Mytilus edulis: one gene and its partners. The main gene of each other region encodes a partner of the protein of the gene in region 4 in a complex. Links are inferred from orthologs where the notes say so. Each region holds a gene or a part of one and is shown on either strand. Other genes may lie near its edges. The genes, in order: U5 small nuclear ribonucleoprotein 200 kDa helicase-like, U6 snRNA-associated Sm-like protein LSm5, serine-threonine kinase receptor-associated protein-like and small nuclear ribonucleoprotein F.

The links.
Region 1: small nuclear ribonucleoprotein F (region 4) and U5 small nuclear ribonucleoprotein 200 kDa helicase-like share a complex: the UniProt entries of both Homo sapiens proteins name them as parts of the U4/U6-U5 tri-snRNP complex. The link is inferred for Mytilus edulis from reciprocal best matches to the Homo sapiens genes SNRPF and SNRNP200.
Region 2: small nuclear ribonucleoprotein F (region 4) and U6 snRNA-associated Sm-like protein LSm5 share a complex: the UniProt entries of both Homo sapiens proteins name them as parts of the U4/U6-U5 tri-snRNP complex. The link is inferred for Mytilus edulis from reciprocal best matches to the Homo sapiens genes SNRPF and LSM5.
Region 3: small nuclear ribonucleoprotein F (region 4) and serine-threonine kinase receptor-associated protein-like share a complex: the UniProt entries of both Homo sapiens proteins name them as parts of the SMN-Sm complex. The link is inferred for Mytilus edulis from reciprocal best matches to the Homo sapiens genes SNRPF and STRAP.

The regions. Positions count from the first base shown.
Region 1 is NC_092347.1:15,196,530-15,204,100, reverse strand, and holds the start of U5 small nuclear ribonucleoprotein 200 kDa helicase-like, read left to right. Parts: upstream 1-4,566; 5' UTR 4,567-4,759; coding exon 4,760-4,804; intron 4,805-7,571. UniProt on the Homo sapiens protein: Catalyzes the ATP-dependent unwinding of U4/U6 RNA duplices, an essential step in the assembly of a catalytically active spliceosome. Plays a role in pre-mRNA splicing as a core component of precatalytic, catalytic and postcatalytic spliceosomal complexes.
Region 2 is NC_092357.1:54,417,708-54,425,185, reverse strand, and holds the start of U6 snRNA-associated Sm-like protein LSm5, read left to right. Parts: upstream 1-4,454; 5' UTR 4,455-4,550; coding exon 4,551-4,590; intron 4,591-7,270; coding exon 7,271-7,366; intron 7,367-7,478. Other genes in the region: kalirin-like, read right to left, coding at 4,185-4,251. UniProt on the Homo sapiens protein: Plays a role in pre-mRNA splicing as component of the U4/U6-U5 tri-snRNP complex that is involved in spliceosome assembly, and as component of the precatalytic spliceosome (spliceosome B complex).
Region 3 is NC_092353.1:16,536,606-16,543,454, reverse strand, and holds the start of serine-threonine kinase receptor-associated protein-like, read right to left. Parts: upstream 3,025-6,849; 5' UTR 2,969-3,024; coding exon 2,803-2,968; intron 199-2,802; coding exon 63-198; intron 1-62. UniProt on the Homo sapiens protein: The SMN complex catalyzes the assembly of small nuclear ribonucleoproteins (snRNPs), the building blocks of the spliceosome, and thereby plays an important role in the splicing of cellular pre-mRNAs.
Region 4 is NC_092344.1:16,047,574-16,054,984, forward strand, and holds the start of small nuclear ribonucleoprotein F, read left to right. Parts: upstream 1-4,384; 5' UTR 4,385-4,467; coding exon 4,468-4,473; intron 4,474-6,433; coding exon 6,434-6,559; intron 6,560-7,342; coding exon 7,343-7,407; intron 7,408-7,411. Other genes in the region: mediator of RNA polymerase II transcription subunit 20-like, read right to left, coding at 457-599, 3,172-3,206. UniProt on the Homo sapiens protein: Plays a role in pre-mRNA splicing as a core component of the spliceosomal U1, U2, U4 and U5 small nuclear ribonucleoproteins (snRNPs), the building blocks of the spliceosome.

The DNA of each region.
Region 1 (7,571 bases), on a different chromosome or scaffold from region 4:
TTTGGTATTGAAGGATTTTTTTTCAATTTTCAAATTTAAACAGTAAGTGATTCACTGCCCTGATTCAAACTATGGCTGCAAGTTTTGTGCTTAAGTTTCATATAAGTAAGATGACGAAAACTTTAGCATAAAAATTTAGTACAATGTAAAATGGGTAGGACTGAAAGGTGGATTGACAGAAAGAGGAACAAGAGTTACACTTATTGCACCCATTGAAACTCATTAAAACTCTCTTTAATATTCTACAAGTTAAATGTAGATCATTTTTATATAAAATATATAAGTACTAAATACATGTAGCTGCATTGTAGCAAGAATTTGTATAGTATGTAGTCTTATTTTACAAATCCTTGATCATAGATACAAACATACAGTCTTCTGGGTACCATGATTTCCTGAGGATTACAGAACAAATTAATATCCCGAGGACAAATTGATTTGTCCCAAAAACATGATTTTATATTGTGTTATATTGCTTAAACTTGTATAATTACAAGGTCTGAAACTTTTTAGTCGTAAATACTCAATATAAATACAAGTTATCTTCAAGAGATCGATTCAGGGGTTCAAATTAACATTTGGTACTGGAAGGTCCACAACCTAAATTCCAGGTCCTACTTTTACTTGATATATTTCCTAACTCAGTAAGATACAAAATTGATGACATGCTTTTGATGTAAGGTTAATTTTAGCTTGTTTCATTGACATTGTCAAAATCACTGTTGCATGACATGTTTATTAATAAATGTAATTATCTCAGCTTGTATTTTATAAATTCAAATAATCTTTCTTTTTAGGTATTTGGGAGGGTGTCACTGTGGGTGGGTGTTGTCTCAACCATGGGTAATTAAATACTAGTTAAACTTTTATATCAAACAGTCATTTCAAATTCAAAGTTGTTTAAGTGTATTATATCAAGTTACGCTATTATACATCTGTAAACAGTAAGAAACTTCTAGATTTTTACTGGCCCTTCAAATTTACAAGAAATTTATTACCTCTTGGAATTGTAGTAATATTTTACACTATAAAAAATCTGCATGGAATATGAACATTTACATGTACTAATGATAAAGAAAATTACTGTCACATGTTTTTTGGATTTTGACATGAGCATTCGTGAACTAAAAGTAGTTTTGAGTTTCTGCATAAAATATTTTCTGCTTTTTCTTTCATTTAGCATGTTCAGAACTAAATCTTTTAGTTTTCAATTCTAATGTTTATATTTCATCATCATAGATGTATTTCATCCCCTGCCTGGAAGTATCATTTTGATCGGCAAACCTGGAATTACCCTTATCCATCCAGGAACTTGATAAAGTATTGTAATTTTTTGCATTTCCGGTTTTATGGCATCCATTGTTTTTCAATGTTGTTTTTGTCAGTCAGATATGATTTTGGTCGGTTTTACACATTACTGCTGGTTAAATTTCAGTATAACCCTAGTGGTTGAACAAAATGAACATTGCTGTCATAAATAATAAAGATGAAAATAAATTTTGAGATCGTTTGGAAATTTTGGTTAAAAAGGTTGGCAAAGATTATTTTTATTTTCCTTCAGGTCCAAGGTCCGTAGGTCGTAGGTAGTAACCAAAACGAAGGTCTGATTGCAAAAGTGGAATGTCACGGACCTCAGACCACCGCTAATTTGAACCCTTGCAATTGGTATGCAAATTTTTTAAGTTGTCTACCTTTTGGATAATTACGTCTGCCATATTGTTTTCAACAAGTAATTTGCATATAACTTACAAGACATGCTTATCAATTCACTGAAGTTAAATTGCACTTTATTGAGTAAACACGACTAATAACTTCTTCTTCTTCTTCCGTTAAGGAGTTGACCTCATATTTGAGTGATTTACTAACTCCGCTCGGTAAAACAGGAGGCTTCTCCATTGATTAAAAGTAAATATTAACAAATAATTAAAACTATATATACACTGTACAATTTGGCAGGCTGATGTCTAGTTAGGCTGCATCTGGGTCCAGGGCACACTGGCTAATCTGGCCCTGAACTCCTCGAGTGTTGGTGCAGCTGCTACTGTGTCTGGCAGAAGGTTTCAGTCTCTTATAGAGCGTGGGAAGAAGGAGTTGTTGTATACTTCCTTAGTAGCTCTTATCTGTCTAAGTCTGTGAACTTAAAATTAAAAACTTTAAAAAAAATTTTAAAAACTTAAAATTATATCATGTATATACTTTGATATTATTTTAAGAACTATAATACCATATTTTCGATGGTAAATCAATTTGTCCTTTGGATATTAATTAGTTCTTGTAATACCCAGGAAATTGTCTGGTCAATACACCTTATCGCTATTCCCAGCTGACCAGAGAATCTGTACCGCTTGAACTATTGACGTCATACAACAGTCACTTTCCATTGTTGTGTCAGATATTTTGTATTATGATGTCAAAATTTTAAGGGAACCTGAGTGATTTCCAGTAATTATGGCAGACAAAGAGCGATATCTAACGACAAACGATAGCCGGACCAGAGGTAAAAACAGCTTCTTCCAAGAAAGGGCCACAACAGACGCCTTCGGACAATCATTTTTTCCAAGGACCATTAGAGACTGGAACCAACTGCCAACATCCGCAACATCAGCTGACACAGTTGATGGATTCAGAGCTGCCCTGAAGGCATGCTCTGCTAAAATTTAGACAGTAACATCCTGTACATAGTTTTAATTGTATATATATAGAGAACGTTTTATCCTGTAAATAGCCAAGAGAAAACTTTCTGTGTTGTCCGACATTGCATTAGTTTTTGAGGGACCTCATACATTCAAGATTTGAATTCGGTTCCTTACCTGGAAGAAGAAGAAGAAGGAAAATACAAACTTATATTGACATTGTAACCCAAAGTTTATTCAGTTATTGAATTGTTTTTGGCATCAAAATACCATATATCTGTTTAATTGTACTAATCATTTTCAATAATTTTGAATCAATAGTTTGGACTATGTGACTTGCAATATAATGCCAATGACTGTCCCTGAAATAGCATACCTGCAAATTATTGTACTTTCTTTTTCTCGATTTGTCGGTGTTAGATTTGAGCTTTAAAATAAATGTAGACATCAGTTTTATAAAACGTTTGAATGATTTTAAGCACGATAGGGTCTCACTAATTAGTGACAACAAGCGTCAAAAAGCGACAACAAGCGTCAACAAGCGACAACAAGCGACAAGAAGCGACAACAAGAATTATTTTAGCGACAACAAGCGACAAGAAGACTATTTAGCGACAAGAAAACATTTTTTTTTATTAGATATAAAGAAATTTGTATTTAATAGTTTTTTTTAAATATACGAGCAGATATGTCTCAATTAAAATGTTTTATTATATTGTTAGATGAAGAAATTTAACATTTGTGAAGAAGAAAGAGATTGAGCTTCTTTTTTTTATTTTTAAATATGAAGAATAAAAAAATTATGTATAAGATAATGCACGGGGGGGGGGGGGGGGGGGGGTAACTTCCTATTATTGGGTATACGGGGATGTGCCAAAAATATGGGTCATAATTTTGCGAGATTTTATATAAAAATGACCCTCCTTTTTAATGACATCCTATATTAAAATGCATTTACGTTTGATAATTGTATATTGATTTGGGGTATGATCTACATATCATATATAAATATGCTATTGATATGTGCACCAAACGATTTCAATTCATATATAAAAACTTAAGGGTAGCTGGTATATTTATGAATTATGAGTGATGATGAGTTAGTGCTTATATAAGCATGGGTCATATTTTAAATATTGTATATAAGTATATGTCATTCTTTCTTAAATATTTATATAACTATAGGTACTGAATTTCAGTGAATGTTATATTAAAATGGGTACGTTTTTTGAGACAAAAATGGCACACCCCTACCAAAAAAATATCGAAGTTACCCCCCCCCCCCCCCCCCCCCACCATGAGATAATGTAAGTATCTTTTTTCATCAAAGTCAAAGTATGAATAAACGAATGGCGATATATATGGAGCGGGCATAATGGAATATAATATTTTGATTCTAACAGTATAATTCATTGTTTTAAAAAACAAATTATAAGATAAATAACATGTTCTTTACAATGGAACAATGGAAAAGCAAGGATTTGTATAGTACTATACAAATCCTTGGGAAAAGTAATCTCATAATACAATAATTAAACGTAATACTGGCTGTTATTCATAATAGATGATAAAATATTATGTAAATAATGTTTCATTTTTTTCTATCAATTTTAACTTTCTTGTCGCTAAAATTATTTTCTTTTGCATATTCTTTTAATATTTATTGCAATAATTTATTTTAATTAAAAAAAAATGTTTTCTTGTCGCTAAATAGTTTCTTGTCGCTTGTTGTCGCTAAAATAATTCTTGTTGTCGCTTCTTGTCGCTTGTTGACGCTTGTTGTCGCTAATTAGTGAGACCGGCACGATATTCTAATTTTAAATCAAACACGGAAAAAAAACATAGAAGAGCTTTTTATCGTTCATATTGACTTTCTTTGGAGAGGAAAAAAAATGAGAAATAATTTTATTGAAGGATTCACTGTTCTTTTCAGAATAAAACAGTTTGATGGAGGGATATAACAGTTGAGTTATACAGAACAAAAAAGAAAAAACTATCCGGAACTTTAAACCGGAAGTGTACTGCCATCTAGCGTCTTGAACAAAAGCGAAACGAAATACAAACGTAGCCGCATGGAATAGAAAACAAACGCTAAATTATTTAAATAAGGATCAACCGGAGGGAATATGGCTGATGCAGCGGCCAGATCGCTTCAATATGAGTACAAGGCTGTAAGTTAATTTGATAAATGGCCCAGACAAATTATGTCTTATGATAAACGTTACTGACTGATTGCATTTTTTTTTAGAAATGACAACCAACTTCGGGATGAACCATAAATTTTAATAACTTTCTTCAACCATCCTGGATTAATTATTTTTCTACCAAACTTGGACAGATGCTTGTTTATGATCACAAGATAGCATCCAGAGCACAGGTATTTGGGGCATGGACCCCCCTTTTTGGACCTCACTAAAAAAAAATTGTTTGGTGTTTTTTTTATGTATTTTCAATTTTCTACAATGTATGAACATATATCAAGTCTCAACAATCCATTGCTAGTCGATTGCAATAACTTTTTTACTATCCATACGATCCCCAAGTGAAAAAAGAAGAAGGTAATTACCTTCGATGACTGACCTACTTTCACTTTGGAGGATCAGGTCAGGAAATCGATAAAAATTTCATATAAAAACTCACTTACTTTTCATAAAAAGTACATCCTTAGATTCCTGAGATATTTTTCTCGACGTTTAAATAGGTCACATGGTGATCTGCGGAGGTTTTGTGTCTTGTTTTACTGATTTTGTTCTACATTTGTCGTCCGTTTGAACCTCGATGCACGGAAGTGAAAATACAGCGCCATCTGCGTGGTCTTTCGCTATGTTTCTATAACTCCTTTTGACTAAACTGCTTTCCTGTTAACTGTTTTTTTGAATTTTTAAAAGACCGGCAAAAATACTTTTTTCGAATATCTCTTACCTTTTCTTATAGCTACATTGCATTCGGAACCCATCTGTAAAACTGGTAACCAAAAACAGGAAAGCAGTTTAGTCAAACGGAGTTATAAAAACATAGCGAAAGACCACGCAGATGGCGCTGTATTTTCACTTCCGTGCATCGAGGTTCAAACGGACGACAAATGTAGAACAAAATCAGTAAAACAAGACACAAAACCTCCGCAGATCACCATGTGACCTATTTAAACGTCGAGAAAAATATCTCAGGAATCTATGGATGTACTTTTTATGAAAAGTAAGTGAGGTTTTATATGAAATTTTTATCGATTTCCTGACCTGATCCTCCAAAGTGAAAGTAGGTCAGTCATCGAAGGTAATTACCTTCTTCTTTTTTCACTTGGGGATCGTATGGATAGTAAAAAAGTTATTGCAATCGACTAGCAATGGATTGTTGAGACTTGATATATGTTCATACATTGTAGAAAATTGAAAATAAATAAAAAAAAACCAAACAATTTTTTTTTTAGTGAGGTCCAAAAAAGGGGGGTCCATGCCCCAAATACCTGTGATCCAGAGCAGAAGTAAATTTGTGAAATATAAATCTTGTTTTTCCGTATTTTACTTATATAAAATAGACGTATTTACACTTGTATGCAAATTTGTCCGCCATACACCTTATCGCTAATCCCGGCTGACCCGGAGGCTTGAACTTTTGACGCATACAACAATCACTTTTTCATTGTGGCCTCAGACATTTTGTATTATGACGTCAAAATTTTACGGGAACCTGTGTGATATCCAGCAATGGCGGACAAATAGCGATAAGGTGTATTACATAAATTAACACAGGTTCCCGTAAACTTTGACATCATAATTTAAAATATTTGACGTCATAATTTAGAATATTTGACGTCATAATTTAGAATATTTGACGTCACAATTTAAAAGTGATTGTTGCTTGACGTCAAAAGGTGATTCGGAGTCGATCTAAGGTCAATCGGAGGCAAGATACAGCTAAATACCAAAAGTGTAAATACGTTTATTGGGTGAGTTTTTCTTAGTTAAACTAGTGTTCTCCCCAGAAATTTTGGATAGCATCACATTTTGCGTTAAAAAAAATAACTGTATTTTTTTTAATGTCGTTTGTCGCGTCGTGTTGATGCTCTATTTCCTTTACTTTTTAGTTTATATTGTTCAATTCATAACTGAGAATACAATTAAACTATAACCACAAAAACAGTTGTTTCAGTTTATGTCTTCTTTGTTCATTTATAGTTACAGAATTATTTTTTTCCTCTTGTGCCAAATAAAAATAAATATGTGGTTTCAGTTACCCAACAATAAGTCAAATGAATGAATTGTTCATTATAGTGCAACCTGTATATATACAAAACTAAATTATCTAGTATACAAAATTAACTGCTTTTTATATTATATCAAGTAAAGATAAAGTAGCAAAAGAAGCAAAAAAATCAATTTAAAAACTTTTTTTATCATGTTTATGAAATTCATTGTTTCATGCCACTCAATGAATTAGTCCCAGTTGTTTCTTATCTTTACATCAAATTCATATGTATTTTTAACAAAGTTATCTAACAAATAGTCTGGTAATGCGTAGTTTTCTCTCTTGGTTTTTTTTTCTGTCTACTGTCCATCTGTTGTCATTATCGTGAAAATGCAGATTTTTGTCATATCTGGTCCGGTTCCGATCCGTAGTTTACACAAAAATGTGCAATGGCGGCCGTAGTAAAATTTACGAAAATGAGTCCGAGAATAAACATTGTTTGACAAGAGATTGTGAATGAATAAGACGCTTTTAATGCATAAAATGGATTAAACATAAACTGAAGCCAATTATGATAACTTTTTAAAGAAGTATAAAACTTATTTTAGCTCTAAACCAAAATTCTCGCTCTCGTATTACCGGAAGAGAAAGAAAGTAATTTTTGGGAGAGTTGCACAAATAAACGACCTTTTTTGAAAATAATAAAAATCGTTTCAATCTTTGAAATTTCGTAATACAAAACGTAGATTTCGA
Region 2 (7,478 bases), on a different chromosome or scaffold from region 4:
TAGGAATTTTAATATAAGATATTCATGGAATAAATTGAAAAGTACCACCTAGAAACGTGGAAAGTACCAGTCAACATGATAGATAATGAAACCCCTGTCTGACCCTACTGTATGTGGGTTTTTTTATTGTTGAAGGTCTACAGATGCCTATAATTGCTAACATCAACTCTCTGAACTCTGGTGGATAGTTATTTCATTTGGCGATCATACCACATCTCCTTGTTTTATATATATTAAAACCTTGTATGATTGACATGTTCAAATTTTTCAGATTTTTGGTGTTAAACATCACATCTACATGTTGTGTACATGTAGCATTCAGTCCACATGGCTGTATAATGGCACTGCATTTGTAGGTAACATTTGGTCAAAATAGTTGCAGTAACCTGGAAAGAACCACAACCTTAGATAGGAAAAGATTTCATTCAAATGACTTGAGTAGGATTTAACCTCACAACTTCAACATTGAAAAAGAGGGACAAAAGATACCAGAGGGACAGTCAAACTCAGAGTTTGCAAATAAACTGACAACGCCATGGCTATAATAAAAAGACAAACAGGCAAATAATAGTACACAAGACATAACATAGAAAACTAAAGAATGCCATACACAAATTAAACCCCACCATAAACTGGGGGTGATATCAGGTGCTCCAGAAGGGTAAGCAGATCCAGTTCCACTTTTAATGTTAGGGGTTGGATAAACACACAACAATTCATCAAACTTTGTCACTATTGAAATCATGTACATGTACATGTACACATGCTATCATTTGGGATGGAAACCTGAAGACAGAATATGCATCATTTTCTATAATTCAATAAAAAAAAAAGTGGCAGTCATATTCTGAGCACTAAGTAAGATTTATATTTTCTGTTAGAAACAGTATGAAACAACATAATGAAAAAAAAAGTATAGATATTTTTGGCTCAGCATCTTGCATTAAACACAGTGAATACATTTAGAAATACCTTTGGGTTTCAAGGCAAGCATGAACAAATATTGAATTGAAATCATAGTAAAATAGCTATAACTACCCTCTTATTGATATAACTCCATCTTTAGTTGCTTGCTGAGGATGGTGGTTTAAATATAACATCTGAATGCACACATGATATCATTGATACACAAATGTCAGGGGCGTAGCTACCCGGAGGCACGACAGCACGTGCATCCACGTCAAAAAAAAAAAAGCAGAAGAGAGAGAGATGAGTTGGTCAATCGGAATCGGAGACTGTTGGTGTCTTTTCCGTCTATCCCGGATATAAGTTTGACAACCTTGTTACAAGTGTTGATGAAGCTGTTCATTCAGAAAAAGTTCGTAGCTTCGAAGTTGTGTGCACATTGATTCGGCATGCAAAAAAAGAAATGGCAAAATAAAAATTTATCAATTGAATGTTAAAGGAAACAGCTATGTTGTCACTTTTTTTAATTGATGAAATAAATAACTTCATTAAATAACGACATTTGGTTTCAAAATATTTTTTTTTTTGGAGATTATGACAAAATCGGAAGGTTACTTGTATCTTTTAAAAGATTTTTACTTTTGAATTTGTAATGCTCAGTCTAAGATATGTAGTTTTGGAGCACATTTTACAGTGTACAGTTCATCAGTTTGGAATGAGATGTACCAATCGGCATTAGAATTATCAGATCCCTTGGATATCGTTGAAAATATGCCGAGGCGATGTGGTTGACAGACTACCGGAGCCAATCACCCTGCAACCAGGCCAAAACATTATTTTTTGTGTTCATAGACCATATGATAAGGCAACTGGAGAGTGGAGTCGCGTCAAGTTATCAGAAAATCGCTTCTTTGTGCTGTATCTGCTTCATCATGTTGTAGGAAATATCACAAACAAACAAATCTCAATACTGTCTGAAACATACGAAACTGACCTAGCATGTAATTTTGACAAATTCAATTGGGAGGTTGCTCGATGCCGAACACGTACGCTGGTTTATAACATCTCGCGGGTGCTACCATGCCATGACGGCCCTGAGATCTATCAGTCACGGTACTACGTATGTAATTGAAAACAAATGTACGATCAACAATGAACAACGAAAGTTACATAGCATTACTGCATATTCATCGGGATTTCAGTGTGAATGTTGACAAAGTAATAGAGAAGTTTGTTTCTGCCCAGACCCGAATAGCAGATTTTGGACAATTTTGAGTAAATTTTGTATCACAAATATGTGTTGTTTATGTAACTATATTCAGAAGATTTATTAATAGTTTTACATTCATAAATTTTTATCTACATATAGCTCCTCTTATAACCGTCCTATGACCGAAACCCCGAAAAAAAAAAAATTCTGCATAATAGGGTCCCAAAAATTTTTAGCCTCGCTCCACTCAGCAGTAGTTGCATCCACATCGTTTCTTTCGAGCTACGCCCCTGAATGTATCCTGTGTTTTGCCTTCTCTTAGAATTTTTACTGTACTTTACATGTAGGTACAAAATGTAGTTCTACCCGGAAAACACTCAAGTGATTCTATCTGACATCACACACAATATCTGAAAGTATTGTAGGCATCACATTACCCAACGACATTGTTCAAATACAGGGAATGACCATACAGAATACAATGTAGACCTTAACACTATTTGGAAATTTGTGCAGCTTGACCTGAGAATCTGTGCCGCTATGACAATATAGACATATTCACACTTGTATGCAAATTTGTCCGCCATTATGTAAAATCACACAGGTTACCGTAAACTTTGACATCACAATTCAAAATATTTGACCTCACATTTAAAAAAGGCAGGACAGAGATTACAACTAAAAAAAAATGCAGGACAAAATTTTTCATCCTAGCCCCCCCCCCCCCCCCCCCCCCCCCCCCCATAAAAATCAAATGGTAACTCCCTTAGGGCTATGCAGATTTATTGCTATTGAACGAGTAGCTAGCCTAGCTGCTACATAGATATTGATAGCAGCTAGGCTAGCTACTCGTTCAGTAGACAAAAATCTATGTAGCACTACGTAACCCTACGATATTGAACGCAAGTCTGTTGTACAGTTACATGTTTTAAAAATAGAACAAATAACTCAGGGTGGCCAGGTATCATCTATTGATTGCAATATCTCACACTTTCAATATCGATTTCTCAGTACAGGGGTATTGTGCATTGCTGCTGTCGAGATTTTCAATTAATCGGTAGATGAAGGGGGTACTATTGAGGCTAAAAATTCATCTAGAAAAAATGTAAAATACGATCGGGAAAAGCGGAAAAGAACATATCTAGTGACATGGACAGAAAGATTCCCCTGGGCAAGGTCGGCTGTGGCGCCAGGATGAAATTACCGAGACCATGTTCTGCGAATATTGCCAGTGTTTTCCCGACCATCCCAATAAAAGGTCTCCCTTGTATGTGTGGGCAACTAATATAATAATTAAACCACTTGTTTCACACGATAAAACCAATAAACATGTTTTCTCTGCCAGAAAATAAACTAGTTTAAAACGGTGTATAATGTCCCCTTCAAAACATGACACCCACCATGTATTATGCAGCAAACTCTGATTTGTAAGGCATACATGGGCTAGCAGGTCAGTTTTGATGGGCTAGCAGTTCTTCGAACAGGGCTAGTAAAATCCTGCTGCCAATAAGTCCTGGGCTAGTTATCTGTAACAACATTTTTTAACCCCTGCCATTGTGGCGTCATATATTTTTCTATTGTGACGTCAAATATTTACAGGAACATTTTTCTTTGTGATTAGTTCAAAGCCAGTTGAATGTGGGACATCTTCATTATACATTTGTATCTCTTGATTATAGTTTAAGTGTGATTTGGGAGTGTTCACAGAACAGATATATTGCCAGGCCATAATCCACACTACACACCATACAGTTTAATAATCAAACTCAAATGTTTAGATACCAATTTCCAGAGTTTCATATATATGCATGTTTTCCAAACATTCATAAATTATTTTGTTCTGGACAAAAAGTTTATATCAAAATCAAAAGTATTGTTGATTAATTTATAATAAAACTTAACATTAAGACAATTTGATACATAACTTTCAAAACTAGTGTGTTCAAAGCTTAAAACATGAGAAAAATTCAGTTATCTTGCTGTTTGGCATTTATTTTGGAACACGCAATGGACCATGACGAGATAAACTTCATATAAAAACAGTAAAGTTTTCTTTGTTTTTCTGTACCTGGGCGATAATAGCATTCCACTTCTCTCTCATTAGTCACATCTTTTCTGTGCTCTTGATTGTTCATGTCTTTTCGGCCATGAGACGCTCTAATTGCTCTTTACAATAATCAGCATCATTGTGTAGCATCTTCATCTTTTTCGGCCATCAAAATTATTATTTCGGTAGACATCGGATATTTCCGTAGCTTCCGGTGGAATTTGTCATAGTAGGCGTGTTCGACTTTACCGCCATGACTCATTCCTTCTTCTTAAGTATCAAAAACCCCGAGAATAAATTTATTTTTAGTGTCGAATCGGCCTTTTCTTTCGTTATCTCTTTGGCCTTTTCTACTTTGTCAACAAATCCACATGTGAGAAACCCACGATGACAACTTTCTCAAATCCATCTCAGCTACTTCCACTTGGTAATTTGTGCTAAGTGTACGATAATAGATAGTGTATTTTTTACTGGCTTTCAATTAAGGCTGCAATTTTGGAAGCTTGTCATTTCAAACCATAAATGTACAACAGTTTCAAACCATATCTATGACCATATAAATTTTTAAAAAGACCGGTATATAATTTTTCATGTGAAAGAGGTCGAAGTCTGTACAAATACTGTTCCTGCTTTTGTTAAGGGTACACTTTCTTTGACTCAATTGGTTGGAGGCTGCATACTTTTATAGATACTTTTAACTGTAGATCTCATCGAATGATAGTGGGTCTCATAATTTGGGGTCTAAGCGTGACGCGGGATTGCCAATTTTTTGTAAGCGGGACACGTGAAAGTCAAATTATTGTGTCGTGAAAACGGGAAGTAAGGTCTAGCGGGACTCTGGAAATGACAAAAAAAATGAAAATTGCTTACGTACATAGTGTAAGCGGTATACGGAAATCTAACAAAACAGTAAGAGGGATCCTTTGTAATTTGATGGTACATTTCTTCTCTATAACTCTCGTAGTTGGGGCACTCTGTGAGGTAGTCTTGTTGTGTTTCCTTAGTTCCACAGCTGCATAAGTCAGTGGTGTTTTGCCCTGTGCATTGTTTATAGTAGTTAAAGGTTGTATGGCCAGTTCTTAGTTGTATAAAGATGATGAAGTATTTTTTGGTTGGATAATTAAAGATTGGGATGTTTTAAACGTTTGGTGTTATCTCAAAAAGTTCTCTTCCTGTGTTGCTTAATTCCCATCGTCTTTGCCACTTCAGCATGACACTCTTGTGTGCACCTTATTTTACATCTTGAAGGGTAAGTATGTTGTTTTTTTGACAGGAGTTGTGTTGCTTCTTCTGCTGCTTGCTTTGCCAATAAGTCCTCTTCGTCGTTCCTTTGAATATTTGTGTGTCCTGGTGTCCATAGGATGCAAATTTCCATCCATTTAGTTCTTAGGTCCTCGATGTGTTCTCTGATGTCTGGAATTACATCAATATAGGATTTGGGTGCCCAATTTAGTGTCAGGAGTCCTACTGCACTTTGATTGTCAGCTAGAGAAGATCTTAAGTGTGGCGGTGGTTTTGTGTAGTCTTTCCAGTATAAAAAATTCCAGTACCATTACAATTGATACAAGCTCTGCTAGACAATTCGTAACTACATTAATTTGTTACCAAGACGTTTCGTACCGGGTGTTATTATATATGTTCTGGATCATATATACATAAGTATGTGGACCAAACGCGTAATGTGTATACTAACCTTCTGTGTGCATTGAAATCATGATCTTTGGATCATTCTGATGTGTCTACGATGTTTATAGTTGCTCTTGATTTCAGACGAGACCGGAAACATTTAAAAAATGATGAACAATTTAAATTCTTCTGTTCTCTTCGTATGTTTGCATACCTGTCAACTGACCCGTATTCTGCGGGTGTGACCCGAGATTTTCACAATTCTGAGGGATCACCCGGGACACCCGGGACACCCGCCGGGTCATTGAAATAACCCGGGAATTCCGAAAATGAACCGATTTCACCCGTATTTCTTAGCCTTGAGATTGATTTCATAAGTAATATTCCTTTGAAATACCGGCAAATTCGTAATTCAATGAACAGGAAGTTCATCTAGTTATGTAAACTGTCAAATTAAGTGACCAATTAAGTGCATGGCTTCACTTGACAGCTTTGATGTCAAACACACTATTAATTAACACCAATTACCTTAGATTTAGGTCGTAAATAAATTGCCCTGTTGTTTTACAAACATATTTCAACTAAGAGTTATTTCCCCTTATTTGTCACTATTCAAAATTATTCCTTATATTTACGTTTTATGGGTGAAAAAGATTAAATCATAAAAATTCAAATACATATTGAAAAATAACTTTACATTATTTTTATACCTTTATACATTTTTTTTTAAAAGTTGAAAATTATTTTTTACATTTATACTTCCTTTAACTGTATTACTATATTTTATCATAGTCTAATTTCCTTCTGAATTTGATGATGGAATGTTTTAAGGCTACATTGCCAGTAGCCTCAAACATTTTAAGATTACATTTGAAAACTAAATTCTAGTATTTGATGATCACAAAAAGTAAAGAACATAAGACTGTTTTACACAAATTATAAAAGTCTTTAAAATTGCAAATAATTGTTAGGATTTAAAATGACTTAACCAAGTTAACATGCATTGATGTTTTGGTATCTTTGATATACATTAAATCATAAGAAAATGTACCATAAATACTAAAATTCAGCTCGAAAAAGTTCGTACGCGTTATGACCTGAGATTTGATTCTTCAATGCAGGTCATGACCTGCATTTTCATCGTCACAGGTTGACAGGTATGTGTTTGCAAAACTGTACTTGTAAACTTAACAGTGTAAAATCAAATGTGCAATCAATTATTAAAATAAATAAATATAGATAGATATGATATATACATGAACATGATAACATCAATAAGTCTTTTTATCTACATGTATAATAGTCATCACATGAGCATAACTTATGAAAAGATGTTATATAAAAATCTCCATTTCACCTATTTCACTTATTTTTTGCATCCAATATTACATTGAAGTAATAAAAATTTTAAAGAAGAAATTGGAAATATTACGATCAATAGCTCTGACACTAGTTTTTAACTATTTAATTTCTCATTTCAGAACTGGTAGATAAATGTATAGGATCTCGAATCCACATTGTGATGAAGAACGATAAAGAAATAGTTGGAACTTTACTTGGTTTTGATGATTATGTCAGTATCCTTTTGACCTATTTAAAGAACAACTACCTAGGTCATGGTCTATTGTATGTCTTTTAAAGTGTCTGAAAAAAAAAGCTGAATGTCATCTTATCATTACTGACCTAGCT
Region 3 (6,849 bases), on a different chromosome or scaffold from region 4:
ATAATGAAATGGACTTATATGTTTTAAATTGGTTCAAACTGACTAAATAGCTGAAAACTTACGCAGAAAAGTCAGCAGCTCCTGTTGCTGCCTTTGTGGCCTCTTTGTTTAAAGTGGCTCCCCAAACAGCACCTTTGTGGCCCTCGAAAGTACCAATCCAGTCACCAGTGTCCCCTTGGCGTAACATTGGTTTCCCATCTACAAAATGTAGAACAGAAAATAAACTACATGTATTACTAAATAATTACATCATTATGAAGTTGCAAAGAAGGCCTAGAAGATAAGGGATTTCTTTATTTCAGTTATTGCCAACAAATTCAAATGAAACTTTTCCATAGATTCATATCCTATTGTTCGATCTTTTTAAACTTTTGTCAGTTCTATTGTCCCAATGAATAAATTCAATAGCTATTGTTCTCTGTGTAGACATAAAAGGTATGTTAGCAGGGATCTCCATGGATGAAAATTGAACGATGGAGGAACTTTCACCATGTCAAAATCCCGTGTCTATGGCGTGGTGTTATAGAAAACATTTCATTCCTTTATTTTCATGTAAGGAATAGTAACAGGCTGATATACTGCTTATTTTATTTTTTCAATATAGATGTCCACTGTTAAAGTCAGAAATGGTATCGACGATTTGCATCATAAACTACCAGAAATTTCGCTCTTGTTTTGTAAAACGCTGAAGAAAAGATTTGGAGGGCAAATGATTTTTAATGACTTTGCAACACTTATCTTCCGATTCTGAATTGAAACAGGAAGACCAGATGTATCAATATGATAACTTTTCATGATTGTAAAAGTTCTACGGAATGAATTGGGAATTACGATACAAAATTTCTTAAGATATTATCAAGTTGCAATTAATATTCATGTATTTACCATGTTTACTTTCAAACTTGTAAAGATATTAAATATTATTGTCCTTCCCTACCAAAGGTCCTGAAACTGAATGTATTTTGTCCTAAACGTGTAATTGGGATTTAGGTCAAATTTTATTTTCAACAGAAATAATTTCGGTCATTTCATTGAGATCGAGTTTCAAAATCACCATATTGAACATATTTTTGTTTTGTCATCGATTTTATGTAATTACATTATATTCTGCCACTCCAGTAAAGTGTTATAATCCTGGGGGCCCTTCTAATAACTTCAATGTATATTAATGCCTAAGAGAGCTATTGGCTAATGATTGCTAATCTCTTTACCTGTGTTTTTAATTCACACCTGGCTATTAATCACAAGCCCCCAACTAATATTATAAAGAAATTAAAGTTCCATACCAACTGTCTTCATTATTTAATTACTTTTCAGCTAAGACAATTGTCAATTATGATTTAAAATTAAATTAAAACTTGATTAATTTACGTAGAAAAAAGTGTTTTTTCACTACTAAAACACATGCTTTGTTTACTTTGTAATATGCATGCTTGAAATTCTCTTCAACAGATTAGACACTGAATCGTAAATTTAGAATGATTTCATGCTAAATAAAGCAAGTGCAACTATTTTCAAATTTTTCATTAATATTCTTACTGTTAAAGGTAAAATATTAAAAATCTGATGATTTCCTGTAAATTTGATAAACAAAACTAATCCCAGAAATTAGTCCGGAATTGTTCATTTTAGTATTGTCGAATTACATCAGGTTTGATCGACTTTCACCTTCAAAATAGAAAGAAATGTAAGCGATTACTGAGAAAATTATCGTGTTGAGTCATTAAAATCATTTTATTTTTAAACTGTTGCCTTCCCTTAATTGCTCTTGATCGATTTTAGAAAAATGGTAGAATAAATCATGAAGTAAATGCGATGCGACAGTGAAACAAGTTTGTTGATGCTATGAGTATGAGCATACTCATACAGTAATGAGATTTTGACAATCTTTTTTTTTGAAAAGGGGCACCAACTTTTAAGTTATATGAAAATGACCGAAATTAGGTGAAAAAATTTCCAGATCCATGTTCCCAACGCCTATATCACCGTGCTCTGTCGCTTCGTAATTCTTGTATCAAGGCTTCAAAACGAGACTAGGCATTATCAGCGACATCACAATGTGAGAGAAGTTATCAGCGACCTCACAATGCAAGAGGAGATGTTATCAAGCTTGCTTTTGTCAAGCATAATAATGTCTTAGGAACACGAAGAAGTGGGAAAAGACCAGTATTAATAGAACGATAAACAGATAATCAGGTTTTCTTCGTTTAGATGTTGCAAAATATCAGCCACTTAACACAATGTGTTGCGCTTGCGCAGTGCTCACTCACCAAAAAGGTTCCTATTGTTGCTCGCGGATGATATTTATGATGTCAAAATTATACAGGAACCTGTGTGCTGACCAGTAAAGGCGGACACAAATCAATAAGGGATGGGACCTGGGGGAAAACACGTGTAGAGTCAGTGAACAGACCCAATACCAATACAAATCATCATCCTTCTAATATTTTAGGCACCCCTACTAGCCCTTTAGAGTCAGAATTGAACCCAGGAAATTCAGAATTTTAGCAATAGGTCTTTACCACTAGACCACAAAACCCCAGGGAACTTTTTAGTGACTTTCTTGACATCCTGTTATGTACGACTACGCCATGTACGGGCACTTGTTTCTATCCATTGGAAGAACCACTAAATGTACGTTTATAGTGGGTCTTTCCATGGATAGAAACAAGTGCATGTGGTACGTAAATGTACGTTGATAGTGGGTATTCCCATGGATAGAAACAAGTGCCTGTTGGTACGAACGTATTATACGTATAACATATTTCACAATGTTTTACAATAAATCTTAATGATATATACCTTTACATGCACTGATAAGAAAGTAACCAAATGGAGTGATGTCGCTAAAATCCAAGAAGACGACTGGTCTTGTATGGCCACTACAAGTAAGAGGTGTCTGTCTCATTTGATTTGTCATTTTTCCAGTTTCTTTCCTCGAAATGCACTTCCGGTTGTTATTTATCATAAAAACTAAATCAAGCCGGGTTGGATTCCGATTTACGACACTTAACCTCGGACCATAATAACCATCGATCAGTATTAGGTGTTACATACGAGTCTCTTGTAACACTGCATTTCGCTGGGGTTTTATAAAGCGACGTACCATTTGATATTCCTGGGGAGGGGGTTGGGGGTGGGCAGGAGGATTTGTTTTGGATCGGTTCTTTAGTTTGTAAACTAAGACTGGACAGATTATCTATTTTCTGCACTATTGTGCAAGATTTTTCATTTACATTAACATGATTAAAGCAAGGAACTGATTATTTATTTTCACAACTATATTTATGATATTTGAAAACATACAATTTTTAAACATTTGTTTTATTCAAGTCAAGTCATTATACATGTACCATTTATCAGAATTAATCCGGCATCCTCCTCTGCAGAAACGAACCGTTGGGTTCTTTATTTCCAACTGCATACATACACAGTATTTAAAGTATGGTTGAAACTAAGGTCTTTTAAAAGTATTGGCAAACCTGTCTCGCCGAGCGGAGTGAGGCAAAAAAAAATTTGAAGCGGGGTTTTGGAACTACTGAAGGCCCAAGAATCATGCTTTCTCAGACTGGGTGTTCCCCAGATCCTTTCTTAATCTGAAAATTCAAGTTCTGTTTTAGTAATTTTTTGACAATATGTTGGTCTCAAAGAAGTTTCTAGGGACAACATCAAAATACCAATATGCATGATAAAGCAAAAATGTAATTCACATAGTTAAGTCTGTGGCAGCTGTTTTTTTTTAAACTCATGAAAATCACTAAATTACAAAATAAATGCAAAACTAACAGAATACAGAAGGGCAATTAATGAACAAAAGACAAATAATGATAAGAAACATTGATCCCGAAAAATCAAGGGCTACGTCTGAAGGAGAACAGAACTTGACGCGTTCTTGCAAGGCACTCACGGTGAACACAATTTGATATGGAGACAAGCGTTTGGTTTTGAAATTTCCTACATGAGGCATTTGCCTCAATGTAGTTACGGCCCTGTAATAAAAGTATCAACGTATCAACCCTCAACTAATATAATACCAAAGTACAAGAGCTCAAATCCCTCGAGCAGAGCTCTTGTGGATTTTTTTTGTCTCACATGGATATATGTACCAGAGACATATAAGGAGGGGGTCGGAGGGGTCCTGATCCCGAAATCCCGGGCTTAAAAACATGAAATCCCGAAATTCGAAAAAAGAATTCCCGGATCCCGAAAGGATCAATTCCGAAATTCTGAGCTTAAAAACACACGATCCCGGAGTCCCGATAAAGGTCATCCCCTCACATAATACAAGTTGTTGTTTTTTAAACTCTCTTCAACCTAATGTTTTGGTATGGCTTGTATCCTGGTAAGTGGTCGGACGGTTTTGTAAATTAATAGGCTTAGCGGTTAAAAAATTGTGACTTAACAGACCTGAATAATTATCTCCGGACCGATGATCATCTTATAGTACGTGTTTTATCAAAATTGTCTACATCGATATTAACTGAACGATTACTTAGTTATCCGGAGAATTCGAAGGTACAACTTTAAAGAATATTATAAGCCCGAATGTTCGTTTAGAGGGGCTGAGGGCATTTTCAGAGGTGGTTTGACAATTTCTTGGTAGTGAAACAAGGTGACCGTTATCACATTGATCTGTTGTTTAATTTTTTCGTGAATGACGTTATTCAAAGTATTCCAATGGACAATAATACTGTTTTAATGTAAATGGGGGAAAATAACTAATATTTCTAACAAGACAAAAAATAGTCGTTTTCAGAAATGGTTGGCAACCTGTAATTAACCATTTTTTCTCTGACAACCATGAACAAGACTGAATTGTAAATTCATATGCATATTTAGGCGTATTGCTATATTTCAATTGAAAGTTTTTGCACTCACAGAATAGGATTTATCAGCAAGGAACAAAGGCACTTTCTGCCTTATTCAACACTCTCTATGCGGGTTTATATTGACCGAAGTCAAGCATTTTTGTTTGTTTAACATTATGGTGGCCTCTATACTTAAATATGCGTCTCAAATTTGGGGATTTCATCGAGTCAAAGACCTAGAAGTCGTTCATAATCGTTTCTGTCGTTTTATGTTAAAGCTTGCTAAAAATTTACTTATCACCTTATTTTGTGGTGAACTTGGTAATCTACTTGAAAATATGTTCATTTTTAAGGAAACATAGAATTATAAAATTTTTGTTGCATATATTATATATGATAAACCTAATATTGTATATGATATTTATAGCCTCCCTGTGTATGAATTGACCTAGAGAAAATTAACGCAACATTTAGATATATAAAATGTCGCATTTCGAACGATTGTGAAAACTGTGTTAAATATAGAAAATTGAAAAATAATTTTTGTTAAGGAGATAACTAAAATTTTGAATAGCAATTTACTCACTAAACTACGTATTGGAACATTAAAACTGATTATATAAGATCATACGGCTCGTTTTGACAATATTGTAATAGAACTTTGTATATTTATACGAAATACGAAATATTTTATTAAAGAAAGCTCAATTATGAACATAACCATTAATAGCATAGATACAAAAAAGAAGAAAGAAGAAAGAATTTGTCCTTTGTGCCTCATAGAAGTAGAAGATGAATTTCATTTCACTTTAAAATGTACAAAACTAAATATAATTAGAGACCAACTGTTTTCCAAAATTAGTGAAATAGTTCCCTCTTTTTCAAATAGATAAATAATTTTATTAACCAATCATGGTGCCCAAAATTTGAGCTATACAATCAAATGAATTACAAAATAAAGCACAGAAAATGATTAGAATGATTAAAGTACATTTGAATGAATACACATTTACACTAATTAACCTGATATAAACCAAGTTATTGACAAAAAATAGTTGTTATGGGTGCCACTGTGACCTGGAGAAGTATGACTAATGAAGAAAGATTTAAATTTTTGTATACGTGTGCTGAGACTGATATAATTAGAATTATTGTTAAATTTATAAGCGACATGTACATTTCTAGAAATGCTTTATTAAGCACTAAATAACTTTGTGGTACCACCTCCTCATATAATGTTTGTGAATTTGGTATGATATATAGATGTTTGTATGTTTGTGTATAACAAATTTGTATTGTCTTGGTATCAATCCTGTAATTTTGGATTTTAAAACCAATAAAAATTACTTACTTACTTACTTACAAAGAATAACATCTAAAACTAATACTACACAAGTATCAAGGTATATGTGTTCCAAGGGGAGTAACTCTAGTGTAATATAAGCAGCAAACAAAAATTTTACACTTATATTCTAAGTAAAAAACACATGTTTATGTACTCAGCTATACTTTTACATACATCAGTGTCTTCATTACTTAACAACCACATAAACTGAGAATCAATATTTGTGGAATTAGTAATGTTTTTTTTATAAAACAGTTGTAGATTAACTCCTTCCTTAAATGAGAAAATTTTTCACAACTTTATATGATCTTATATGCTGTCATAATAATTGTATTGAAACTGAGTACCATTTTGTTTTAGTATGCCATGCATTTAGAGCATTGAGGGTAACTATAGTTTTTACCATAAATATACTGGTTCATGGTAAACTATTTATTTACTAAATCGGCTTTACAACACATAGGTACAATGAGTAAATATACTAAATATGAATCACAAGAATTAAAAGCTACGTTGTATTTCTTTTACATGTTAGGCTAGCTCAAAGAATTAAAATATGTGTAATTTCTTAATGCAGCATGTAAGTTAAGATTACAAATTATTATTGCAAGGCATCATAGCAGTTGTAGTTCTGTGCTTGTTATGACCTTATTGTGATGTTCTCTGCATGTCTACTGTCATTATTGTGTCTGTCAT
Region 4 (7,411 bases):
GGTTGATTATAAGCATGAGCACTCTAGATTCCGCTGACTGCTACAGTGTAATAAGATTTTTTATTTTGGTCTATCAATGAAAACAAGTGAATATCAATAAATATTTTTTAGTTGAGAACAATGACACTTACATTGTAACTTTTTTGAGATTGAGAAACATGAAACTATTTAAAAAAGGTAACTCCAGGTAATCCAAAGGGTACCATAGACAAATTCTGCTAGCCTAGTAATACAAGTAGTACACATCATAATGTTGCTTACAAAAAATAACCATCTGGTCATATTTGAAGATGAGTAATAAATGAGGAAAAGGATGGGAGAGTTGTTGCAACAACAAAAAAAAAACAAATTCTGTGGTCTTCTTTGATAGATATGTCAACCATGTTATAATAAGATCCCCTTACATAAATAATGATTCAAGGAACAATTACTTTTTTTGTACAATGTATAACTTACTATTCTGTGAATTTGACTGGTAAGTTTCACAATCAACACAAAAGTTTCCAGATCTTGTAGCTCCTAGTAATTCTACATTTTTCTGTAACATATCAACTGCTTGTTGTCCACTCTTACCCTCAGGCACAGCATAGCTAAAAATACTACAAAGACAAAATTAGAACAAAGTTGAATATGATTATCAAAAAGGGATATCAAAGGAAACTGAAAAATATAGGACAGAGACAGCCAAAATTTGGCCCTTAATTTCAAACAATAGCATATATACATATATTGTAACCTAATTACCAATACTTGCAATCTTAAATGTGCAAAATTAAAAAAAAATAACACATAAACTAGATATTTTCAAAAGTTTAGAATGCTTTAAAAAAATAAAAAAATTGGGAACGTATCCAAGGGACACAGATTATGCCTTCACTTACTTGTGACATTATAAACATGATAAAGGGACATAACTCAAGAACAGTAAAGAAGTGATCTCAAGTCACCCAAACCTGTACTTGATCTGAGTTTTGTGGTAATAAACATTGTGTATAAGTTTCATAACATTTGGTAAAGGAAAACTTAAGTTAGAGAAAGACAAATTCAGCAATATTTTCAATGGTAAGGGGGCATAACTCTTGAACAGTAAAGGTAACACCACCAAAATTTAAAATTGCTCTGTGTTTTGTTGTAATAACCATTGTGTATAGTGTATACAAGTTTCATAACATTTGGTTGATGAAAACTAAATTCAGATAACAGAAACCAATTTTGGGATGTATGGACATACAAACAAACAAAGGTTATATTCTCTCCTTTTCCTTCAAATTTGCTGTTAAACTGCATTTTAAACACTGGCCATACCCTTTGACCAAAATATATATGAAACAGAAAAATAGAAAGATATCTTTGAGATTTTGATTTTCACCATTAATGTGAGGAATTGTGACATCATGAAAACATAATTACAGGAATGCTAATTCGTTTAAACATATCTATTTATAGTGGATTGGAAAACAAGTTTTGTAACTAATATTAATCCCTTTCCACTTTTAGGAATGCTAATTTTTTCGTAACCTGGTCGTTTTATACCTGGTTGATTCGTAACTACGTTGATTTGTAACTGAGGCGTTTCGTACCTGGTGTAATTATATATGGTTATAAATTGTTAGTTTAAATCAATTTAATAGTTTAATTTAAACAATTATTTTCTTAAAATGATCAAAATGTTCATTTGAGGCCACACCAATTTGATTTGTACTTCTTAGGACAAAAGCTCCAAAAAATATTGGGCAAGCAAGAGAAATTTTTTTGATTGTATATATTTCAAGAAATTGAGTTTTGATGAGGCAGGTGCTCTACAAGTGGAGTGAGCGGTAAAATGTGTTTTTTTAAATTGTGCAATTTAAAACTTTATCTTCATGTTCAAACTGGGTTACTTCAAAGAAAAAAAAGGAAAAACATGATCCATGTCTTATGCATATAATTAGATGTATGTGTGATGGACGTTAGAGTGATCTCGTACTATGTCTGTTGAACAGCTGAAACAATGATTGGGGATGACAATGGATCTAACGAGTACAAATGTGATCGTGGTCATCTAACGAAAGATTTTTTATTTTATCTCCTAGAACAGGTCTTCATAAATAAAACGAAATGCATTTCAAATAACTGTGTGTTTAATACCATAACTACTGGTACTCTATAAAATTGAGAATGGAAATGGGGAATGTGTCAAAGAGACAACAACCCGCCCAAATAAAAAACAACAGCAGAGGGTCACCAACAGGTCCTCAATGTAGCGAGAAATTCCCGCACCCGGAGGCGTCCTTCAGCTGGCCCCTAAACAAATATATACTAGTCCAGTGATAATGAACGCCATACTAATTTCCAAATTGTACACAAGAAACTAAAATTAAAATAATACAAGACTAACAAAGGCCAGAGGCTCCTGACTTGGGACAGGCGCAAAAATGCGGCGGGGTTAAACATGTTTGTGAGATCTCAACCCTCCCCCTATACCTCTAACCAATGTAGTAAAGTAAACGCATAACAATACGCACATTAAAATTATCTCTGTACTCATGGTACTTGTCCTTTGCAATAAACTGACACAACTTCATGTTGGCATCCTAATTTTTGACCTTTTATTAACAAATCTATTTATCACACGTGCATTTGAATCGATGGATGTGCACAAGAAAAACATCTATGAGAAAAAAAAATGTCAAGGATAAACAAAAAAATGTCAATGATAAACTAATTTTGGAGCGGCATGCGGCCCAAAAATTTGCAGAAGAGATAATTATTTTTTTCATTGAAAAGTCAATTTCTCCAAAACAGGAGCAGGAAAATCCAAAGAACTATTAATCAAATTGGTGTGGCCTGATAATAACAATATTTTCAATTAAAACTAATTAGTAATTATGCTCGGTGACAACTTTAATGGTTTAAGGACAACTAATGGCAGGTAATAAAAAGTAATAACAGTAGGTACAAAATGAGGTATAAAGTGAATAGTAGAGTATTAAAAATGGCACACAAGCTGAAAAAAATAATTATTTTCTCCTTTTTTTTGTCAAAGATAGAATGAATGGTTGTCGATGACAGCTTTGGTGTTAAGGTTGTTGTGCCATCACTCTACGTCGTTAATAATGGTGGGATGGATTGCATAAACACACACCAACTTGCATTTGGCCACTGTCGACTGTTCAATGTTTTTGAACATACCGTAGAACTACTCGTAGACGACCAACTGGAGCCATGTCCTTTAGCTTGTTAAAGTCAGTACTCATATGCTCCACTGGCCATTTACTTATGACTCGCACTATTATAAATATATTGTAATTATAAGGTTACAAACGTCTCAGTTAGAAAACGACCTGCATCCCATTAGATACAATATTTTTTATAATTTAAAAAGTAAGCAAAAGTTTTATACATATTTTCATCAATTTTCTATAATTCTACATTTTTTTAAATAGTAAATTTTATTTCATGGGAAAAAAAATACTGAACTCAGAGGAAAATCAATTCGGAAAGTCCATAATCACATCATGCACATGGCAAAATCAAATAACAAAACGCATCATAAACAAATGGACAAGAACTGTCATATTCCTGACTTGGTACAGGCATTTTCAAATGTAGAAAATGGTGGATTGAACCTGGTTTTATAGCTAGCTAAACCTCTCACTTGTATGACAGTTGCATCAAATTCCATTATATTGTCACCGATGCATGAACAAAACAAACAGACACAATAGGTAAAAATGTCAAAAAATAGGGGTACAGCAGTCAACATTGTGTTATCATCCTAATCACTAAAAACAACAAATGTAACGAAGAAGCACAAAAAGGCATACATCAAATTTTTTTCAGTACCAGTATTAGCTCTTCAAAAACCTGGATTTGAAGAGGACTGTACATTGACAAGGACAACAGAGAGACAATAGATACCTGACAATAATTGTAGATTTAAACTGTGTCACTGAGTGGACCATATCAACTGAAACTCAACAGTTTGTTAATTTCATTATCTTTAGCAAGGACCAAAAAAAGTGCACAGTGAAATCTAGTTATTTTTAGTCTTCTACAATATGAAATGACTTTGAACTTTTTTTAACCTATACAGATTGCGATTTCTTAAAATGAGTTAGGTGCATTTAAGCTCATGCATTGAACCTATTTCAAACAATTACCACACAACTCCCATTTCATTATTTTTGTACAACAAGGGACATAACTTAATATTTTATTTATTCATTGTTTTCAAACAAAACGAATTTTAGTTTACCATATATTAATGTGTAACTAAATTCATAAAATTCTAGTTAATTTAACTAAAATCGCTTCTTTTGATGTAATTTCACTAAAATTGATGTATTGTGTAAAATTTAGAATAATTTTGATTAAAATGTTTCGTTTTTTTGTGGGTTAATAATTTCTTATTATTTATTAACCACCGGCGGCGAAACGAATAGACCACGCTGTTGTTATTAATCGAATCACACAAGAAAACACACGATGGCCGTACGTATATACTGATCATCTTCGATGCACAGTTCTTAGATTAACCCTACTTTTCTGTAAAATGACCAATCTATGAAATTCCGCTTTAAATAAAGGGAATCCAGGATGTCATATAAAAAGGGGGAGGTCATAACAAAGCGCATTTTATTTGTGTATGCATTTTGAGACTACTATAACACATGCATTACACCATTATCTTGCATTTCATTTAAATTTATCACTTAAACCTACAAAAAATAGTTTATGACGCAGAGCTAAATACTGATACTATCAGTGATGGGTCCATCTTCCAATATATGTCAATCTAAGAATTAGTCTATGTCTGTTTATCTGTTTATACACCTTATCGCTAAATTATCCCGGCTGACCCGACGGCTTGAACTTTTGACATCGTACACAATCACTTATCCATTGTGGCGTCAGATATTTCGTTTATGACGTCAAAATTTTATGGGAACCTGTGTGATATCCAGTAATGGTGGACAAATAGCGATATGGTGTATCAGTGGTCTAGCTACAAAGTTTGAACAGGGCACAACGCCCGTGCCTTTTTTCTGCTGTCCCTCAGACGACCTGCTGATTTGTAAATCTTCCATGAACAAGAAGTTCAGCTACCTGTGCAAACTGTCAAATTAAGTAACCCATTAAGTGCATGGCTTCTTCTGACAGCTTTGGTGTCAAACACATAATTGTCAATTAACACAAATAATCTTAGCTTTAGGTCATGCAACATAATTTGTGTATATCAACAAAATAAGTTACTTCCCCTTATTTTCCACCTGTTCACACTATATTCTTTAAATTTATGTTTCTTTTTGTAAAAGGATTAAAAATTAATTTAATGCAAATGCATATTAGAATATTTCTTTAAGTTATTTTCACTTGAATACACTTCAAAATTAAATATTTTGAAAATTATATCTTTACTTCCATTAACTGATCTATCAAGTGCAATCTAGTATAAAAAAATCACAAAATCTGTTAATACATTGGTGAGACTGGTAATATAACAGCAACTACATACATGTTATATGAAAGAAACAGCTTCCTGAAAGGGTCTCAGCATCATGACCATAGATTTATGAAGTCAACCATGAAAAATTTGCCAAAAGTATTGAATTTGAAATATATTACTCCATTTTAACTGAAACTTGAATTTACAAGAATGCATAGTAAAAGTTATGTGCTAATTAATTATGAGGCTTAAATAATTGCCTTTTTTTCAGTGACATTAATTAACATGTAAAATTGCCCTTTTTTCAATGGCAGTTACACGTAAAATTGCCCCTTTTTGAACTACATGTAGCACCATACCCTTTTCAAATCCTGGCTAGAACACTGTGTATTATAAATAAGCCTGTTTGACAATTTTGGGCAATTCTGTTCACTGAGCAATTATAAGAATTTGATTTGCCAAATAATTTGTGCAATATACATTGTAGCATCATATCACTTGCACAACATAGTAACGGAAGTGAAGATGCCCATAAACATTCGAACAATGTTTACTAAAACGGAAGTTATTGCTGGAAATGTAATGAATTCAAAAGCTGTCTATAAAATGAGCATTTTGTTTAACCACAAATTGCCTGCAGAAATTGTCAATAAATGTACTTAACAGCCTAAAACAGAAAGTTCAACTATGCTATTTTGAATTTCCAGTGGAAGATAAAAGTTTCAGTTCTAAACCCAATTTTATAAATCTAGACAAAAGAAGGCTTTGAAATGTCAGTTGATGTAGGACCTACATTGTGTACATGTACATGCAAGATAATAATTAGCTGACTGTTTTTTTTTATTACATTATACTTTTTATTGTTAAGAGATGAAAAAGTTATGGAACATACATGTAATGTTATAAACATGTACTGTCTACAAACTTGTTTATATGACTTATTTAGTATGATATAATAAACACTATTTTGTGTATTTGTTAACTTTTTATTTTGTTTACTTTTAGGCTTTACCTATGAACCCGAAACCATTTTTAAATGGACTAACAGGAAAACCAGTGATGGTCAAGCTAAAATGGGGAATGGAATATAAAGGCTACTTGGTATCTGTAGATGGTTACATGAACTTACAGGTCAGTTGATTTATAGACACCAATAAACATTATGTAGAAGACTTGCCTTGCAGTACTTTTAAGTTTTGTCTCCTTGAAAAAAAATTGTCATAATCATGAAATATTTTATTTTTAAACATTGTGACTGTATTCCAAAATGGTTAAGTATAATATATTTCATGATTATGACAATAAAGGGAAATTCACTCTCTATAAAGAGTGGTTTAGTTTACTTTGGTTTTTGTTGTGCAAATAAATTTCAAGATCCATTTTGATTGTCTTTTATTTATGAATTTTCTTTTGAAATCACAACAGATTTTTTCTTAAAACACAGACAAGCAGGACTAAAGTTTTTGTGTGATCATTTCTGTCTGTTTATGTTGAAACATGATAAATAATGCACATTCTTAATATTTGAGGTAAATGCTTCTACACAGATACATGTATAGTCATTTATATTTTAGGTGAAATGAATTAAGAATAGTCAGGCAATAATACATGTAATAAAAAGTGGAAAGTTTTAACTTTGATTTTTTTATGAAAATCGTACCAACAAAATAAAAAAAATGGCTGTGCCCTTTAAACATGCTAAATCAGATATTATTATATATTATATAGTATTCATGTTTCATTTTTTTGGAATTATTGATAAACTTGTTGATAAAAGTTACATGTAATGATATTTTCAAGATGTGAATTATAATATCTCATACATGTACATGTAGATAAAAATAAGTAGATCTAGCTTCAAGGAAATGTGAAGTGATAAGTTTTACTAAAGCTTTGTGTATTTTATGTTTCTAGCTTGCTAACACAGAAGAATTCATTGATGGTATTCAGACAGGCAATCTTGGAGAGGTTCTAATCAGGTAT